Bombyx mori: one gene and its partner. The protein of the gene in region 1 purifies or fractionates together with the protein of each later gene. This does not show direct contact. Links are inferred from orthologs where the notes say so. Each region holds a gene or a part of one and is shown on either strand. Other genes may lie near its edges.

Evidence for each region. Proteins that work in one complex are often made in the same cells at the same time.
Region 2: the proteins of cytochrome b-c1 complex subunit Rieske, mitochondrial (region 1) and complex III assembly factor LYRM7 purify together in Homo sapiens (co-immunoprecipitation; 5 studies listed by BioGRID and IntAct, with this or other methods). This does not show direct contact. The link is inferred for Bombyx mori from reciprocal best matches to the Homo sapiens genes UQCRFS1 and LYRM7.

What each region holds. Positions count from the first base shown.
Region 1 is NC_085107.1:12,018,517-12,021,578, reverse strand, and holds cytochrome b-c1 complex subunit Rieske, mitochondrial, read right to left. Parts: upstream 1,669-3,062; coding exon 853-1,668; 3' UTR 501-852; downstream 1-500.
Region 2 is NC_085115.1:10,586,593-10,590,353, reverse strand, and holds complex III assembly factor LYRM7, read right to left. Parts: upstream 2,372-3,761; 5' UTR 2,031-2,371; coding exon 2,013-2,030; exon of another isoform or gene 2,005-2,012; intron 1,926-2,004; coding exon 1,782-1,925; intron 1,481-1,781; coding exon 1,399-1,480; intron 708-1,398; coding exon 592-707; 3' UTR 501-591; downstream 1-500. Other genes in the region: major facilitator superfamily domain-containing protein 9, read left to right, coding at 2,814-2,855, 3,451-3,582.

The sequences.
Region 1 (3,062 bases):
TATGCATATAAAACAGTCAATATAAAAAAAATTCTGACTACACTGGTGGTAACACCTCTTGTGAGTCCGCACGGGTAGGTACCACCGCCCTGCCTATTTCTGTCGTGAAGCATTAATGCGTTTCGGTTTGAAGGGTGGGGCAGCCGTTGTAACTACACTGAGACCGTAGAACTTATATCTCAAGGTGAGTGGCGCATTTACGTTGTAGATGTCTATGGGCTCCAGTAACCACTTAACACCAGGTGGGCTTATCCGCACATCAAAGCAATTTTTTTTTATTAAATTGTATATCGTGTATCGTCTACTGATTTTTTTGAAGAAAACTAAGTTACTTTTGTTAGGCTACTTAAAGAATATTACTGCGATAAATATATATAAGCGAACGAGCAAATACGTAGCTAAATATTTGACAACTTTTGCAGCCTTTTAAGTATACCGCAATAACTTAATATTTTGCCTTCAAATTTGCGATTTAATCGGATGAATGATACATGAAGGCATAGATTTGTCATAATACTATTTATTAATCTTTAAAAAGCCATAGTCGCCATGCTTAGCACGATGGTTGACGATCGCAGTATACTGTTATCATACTCGAAGAACGCTTGTTCTTTGGAGAATCTCTAAGTCGGCTTTTACCCCAAGGGGTGAAGCGGGGAGGCACTATAATTTTTCGAGATTCAATTTAATAATATATTATGTTAATCAGTTTCAAATATTTTACTATAATAATGTAAAATTTAATAAAAATAAAAACAAAATTGACAGTGTGGTGTCGAATTAATTATGAGGACTTATATATCTGAATTTAAAATTTATTTATAATTTCAAGAGAAGTATTTGTTGACTAGTTTATCCTACAATTACTAGAGAGTCACTAACAAACTTATAAGGGGGAACCTCTAAATTCAAAGGCGCGGGTCCTTTGCGAGCTCTACCGACGTTATCGTAATGACTACCGTGGCAGGGACAGTAAAAACCTCCCGGATAGTCACCAGCATTTGCGATCGGCACACATCCCAAATGAGTACAAATTCCAATCACTATTAGCCACTCCGGGATCGTAGTACGTTGTTCCGGGGTCTCTGGATCGCGTAGAACCGACAATGGAGTCTTTGCCTCAATATCGATGTCTGCTTGAGTTCTACGCTTAATGAAAAGCGGTTTTCCACGCCATTTGTATGAGACACAAGCCCCGGGTGTGATTTTGGTCAGATCTACTTCTATCGATGCCATAGCTAACACGTCAGCGGCTGCGGCCATGTAAGAAATGAAATGTACTAGCTCGGATTTTACAGCATACGATCCACAGAGCAATCCGAAGAAGCCAATCGTGTAGGTCACTCCGGACTTCTCGTCGCCCGCACCCCATCTTGTCTTTCTCACATCCTTGTATTGATCTTTCCTGTACGGATTAAAGTTTGGGAATTCGATATCGCGGTGAAGACGAGGACATTCTTTGTGGTATCGCACTTGTACCCACATACTCAGACTCGGTATTTGCTCAAGATTGTTTCTACAAAATCTCGTTAGAGGTGCATCGCTTTTATTGACAGACGCTCGTTTTCGTCGCACCTCCCGTACAGTTTTTATACAAGTTAAATTCTGACAGCACAGCCCGGTCCAAAGATTAGGACAAATTGCACGCGCATTATTTAGAACATTCATTTTTTTATAATCAACAATCAGCTTAAAAGCAAAATGTCTCCATCGCAAAAAGTGTATTCAGAAAACGCAGGAAAGATAATTTAATAATGCCCGAACGGATCTTTTGACTTGTTGTCAATATCAGCAATAATTGTCATAAGCGGTACCAAGTTTTTTTTTAAAATGCCTAAAGAGTATTCACTTAGGATATATAGCTTACGTTCTGGGATACCTATTTTAAGACTAATAGAAATTGCACGCCTATAGATATATAAGGCACTGCTGATTTTCCGTCCTAAAATGAGCCTTTCTTACTCTTTTTTTTTTTCACTCGTTTGTCTCCGAGCTTCTATATCACGGCGATGTTATTCAGAGACTATTATTATTTAAATGATAGCAGAAATTTACAACGATACTAGTCAGATCACCTTTTCTTCTGGGAGTAATGACACCCTGTTAAGGTTTGAGTCATCGTCCATCAAAAACGACGTCATTACAAAGTGAGCAATCGATGACTTAATTAGATTCCTAAGGACGATTTATTATTGTTGCACTATAAGACATCGTCCGTCTGTGGCCACATCCACCTTACGTTTTGGTTAAAAGAGAGCCAAGGCCCAATGATGTAACACGTGAAAGTGCGCAATCGAAAGCCCCACTAGAGACACAACGTGCGTCCGAACAACACGCCGACCGGTTGGACTATCAAGTGAGTGATTAGCAATTATTGTATAACAGTTTACAATATTACAAAAAAATATCTCTTGTTTTTTTAAATTTGGAAACTTTCATTTTTATTTATTTAAAGTATCAAATTTCTTAATCGTTCGTCGAATTGAAAAAAAAAATATTTTATTTATTTATTGTGCACCTGCTTATTGCAAAATAATTTATAACTAACTTACGTTACGTTTATAAAGTCTACGTATTCTTTAGAGGCAATGTCTGATTTGCTAATTAAATTTCGTAGTTTATTCTAGCAAACGCTCCGCTGTTTTATTTTTCTTATAAATAGCTATTCGAACTTTTAAGAAAATGTAAATTGGTGCTGTTAACATAAAAAAAATACGTAAAAAGTAATTCCCCCAAACCACTTCCAATAAAGTACAAGGACAAGGAACTTTGATCTCATATAATAAACACAGGTATATTTAGGTGGAAGTGTTAATTCTATTCTATAACCGGTTTGCGGCATAAACAGGAGGGATGGTGATACAGGTGGCGGTAGATACAAAGTATACGTAGACATATTTTTTTTTTGCAACAAACACTAATTGTATAATAAATTTAGATTACTAGAAGATACACGCGCATCACCTCTCGTGTGTTGATGGCACTACGATAGAAACCTTCCCTGCAGTACCATGCCCACTGAGTTTCTCGCGGGATCTTCTCAGTGGGTCGCGTTTTCGATC
Region 2 (3,761 bases), on another chromosome or scaffold:
TTGACTGAAGTTGTTTGACTGTAGAAAGTAAATAACGACTCTAATTGTTTAAAATATTGAATTGTCAATAATAATAATAATAATTGTCATCGATCCTTTTTATGTAGGTGTACCTACATACTTAATCCGACGGCCGACTTTTTTGAAGGGTGTCAAAATCACGGTGAAACTTCGATCAACATCGAAGCGGTAAAAGATACCGTTTACCGCGTTTCACATAGTGGTGAAAGGCTATTTGGTTTAAGCGACATTTCACGTAACATGCGACATTTATCTTTGTAATCATTAAAGGTTCGTTGATTTGGTATTAGCAACAACAATTCGACGTTTTTAATTGAATTTCAATTAAGTTTACCCCATTCAAATAGGTGAATATTTAATTATTTTTTTCTATTACAAACTTTAATTGGCCCTTCTGCAAAGTTGCAAAAATGTCACATAAACCAAACAGCCTATCACCCCTCGATATAATAAAAACATAGGAATCGTAATGAAAATAATTTTGTATCACATTCTGTTTATTTTTATTTTTTACATTACATTTGCTGTTCTATTCAAGATTGTATTGTTTTAACTAGCCTTATATATCTATTATTTGGTTTTATCTTGACAGCATGGTCGTGGTGCTTCTGTCCCATCTTCTAATATAGCATGATCATTGAAAGGTATGTTGTCTAATTTCACAGTGTCATCAGTAATTCTTGCTTCTGAAATTTTTATCCATTTGGATATTATTTTTGAAAATTTAATTATAAAATTAATTAAATAGGTATAAACAAAAAAGGCAAAAAGCTGAAAAGCTTTAATCATTCCTAAGGCTCAGAACTTCAGGAAATATAATTATTCTGTGATTGTTATCGAGTTACAGAGAAAAATAATTGTAATTTGATTGTGATTTTCAATTTGTTAAATGTTGTGAACTTGCTCATCGCAAGCCCATATCAGTTTAATGTAATGTTGTGCTTTAAAACATAAGATGTTCAGTGTATTATGGTTACTATAGTGGTGTTCAAACTCTTAAAAATTTATCAACTGTTTTGAGGAATGTATAACATTAGTTTGTGAATGACTTCCACAATGAGGGAATAACATAGAAAAAAATGAAACCTGCAAAATTTATACATTTGCTTAATCATTCACTTAACTGAGCAATAATTTTTTTTAAATAATTTTCTGAACTTTAGTCTCAGTTATTCCTGAGATAATTTTTTAATGTTTCGTACTATTGTGTACTAGTAAGGGTACTTGTTCTCCTTTTAATAAAATAATTGCTAAGTGTGGTTTGTACCCAGACACACAATGAACTGATTTGTTACCCAACACATGTGCTTAAGTTCATAATTAAAATAATAAAACATAATACATACTTATATTAAACTATAAGAAGTATGTACTTACCATAAACACCTGGTTTTATTTCTCGGGCTTGAATCACTTGAGTCCTTAATTCCCTTTCTATATCCTCTCCAAATGCAATCATCTGAAAATTAATAATAAGTTTATTATCCTTCTGTTACGCCACAGTTAATAAAATTATAAAAATACAACTGTCTCTTCTAAAAGATTGTGCATATCTGTTACCATTTGTATTATAATTTATTTATTTATTTATTTATTACACTTCTTAATGCCTAAGGCATTCTCTACCCGTCAACCAAAGGTAGTGCAGAGTAAATTCGTCTGATTTATAGAATATTTTTCTTTGATAGTTACGACTACAAGTACCTAATATTTAATTATTACTTAATGTTGTTTAACATAAAGCTATATTCACAAAGTACCGCTTTAATCGAGTTTTCATTTTGAACATTTTTGTTTTTGCGAAATTCTTCATTTATTTTTATTCGTGCCGCTAATAAAGCACGTTCGTCGCCTTCGAAGACTTTCATTCTAGTTCTGTGCAATTTCTTGAAGCTTTGTAAAACCTACAAATAAAGTAAACGTTATCCATGTGAAACAAGGCGATTTTAAAATACAAATTAGAAACGAATCACTAATGATTACATGTTTACCAAACGTCTTGTCATCATTTTCAGTTTAGTCTTTACTAAACCCCTGGTATAATATTTATTATTTAGTTAAATTTTCTTTATTGTTTGTTTACATAACGTTTTTTTTTTCTTCTTTTACCTAGTCAGTTAAGCAAGGGATACACGACAGATGGGGCCCATACGGTATCGGGCATCGGCTGTAGTTTTTCCATTCCATTAAATTTTTTTATTTAATAGTATGGGCCATACTAATGGCCAATTAAGACGAATTACGAAATGGTTTAAAAAAGTAAGTATATATATTTTTTATTGCCGTATAGGCAGACGAACATACGGCCCACCTGATGGTGAGTGGTTACCGTCGCTCATGGACGTCAGCAATGCCAGGGCCAGAGCCAAGCCGCTGCCTAAAAAGCTAGTTTTTTCAGTATATTGGATTTAAGACAAGATTTTAATATACTTTTGGAAGACTCGAGATAACATATCTAGCTATATTCTTTCACACTTATGAATTATTTGTATTCTTATTCTTATAACAAAGGTTATTTTATTTTATCTCACCTCAGGTAATACAATAATTTCACTTTTCAATTAACAGATTGTTCGGATATCGTTTTAAAGGATTTGTATGTATGGACTAGGTTCCCTCTACCGGTCTAATGAATAACCGAGTAAAATAAATCATACTTTGACGGTTGACCAATAACAATAGAATTTGTGATAGATATGTACATAGTTGACTAGATGCGTTGTCATCATAAATTAATGGGCTCGAAATGTAATCAGTCGTATATGTTGCTGCCCGTGTAAAATCTATTAATCATGCCTTTTGAAATCTGTTTACTACAAGCAATCTCTTTTTTGGTTTGTCTTTATTGCACATTTTCGATACTTGAAAAAAAAATTACATCAGACATGCACAATCTTGCCCCTTCTGTTTTTGCACTTTTAAAATATAGTATAGTATAGTATTAAATAGTTGTTAAACTCACAAGTTGTAATGTTTTGTGGGTTTTTCTTTCGGTGAGATCATGGTCTCCTACATCTATTTCATAGTATGAAATTCATACTAAGTGGTTACTGCAGCCCACTTCACGTCATAAATCATCTGAGACTGAGACCATATAGGGGTATCTTTTGTGTTGACACAAGATCAGCTTTCAAAGTACATACTTAAACTAAAACATGATTACTTTATGGTAAAAATATACAGAATGGTTGTTGGCCTTCTAGGAATTTTAAGGTTGACTAGGAATATTTTCATGAGGTGAGGATATTACTATGGATGGATCCAGGGCCTCAGGGAGACAACTAAATGAACATGAGGAAATTATTTGGTGTAGCATGCCAATGCTTATTTATTCTAACAAAAGTCCAATAGTCCTTAAAAACATCCATATGCCTCTCATTGGTCTTTATTTGATATATCATTTTCATTTTATATGTTAAATTTTTCTAGGATCTTTTAGCGGTGGGCCTTATAATTCCACTTGTACCTGGCCATGTGAGGAAAATGGGAGCAAACCACATTTATGTGGGTTTACTTGGTTCCATATATGCTGGTTTCCAATTGGGCTCGGGACCACTTATAGTAAGTGTCAAAATAATTACAATGAAATTGAACCTTAAAATCTTTTTAATGCTTTTGGTGGATGTAAGATCTTTTACTTAGAGATAGACTGTAACTGAAGCCTACAACTAGGTATATGAATGCTATCATCACTTTGAGATATGAGATTTAAATCTCAATGCTAAATGCTAGGTAGTTGG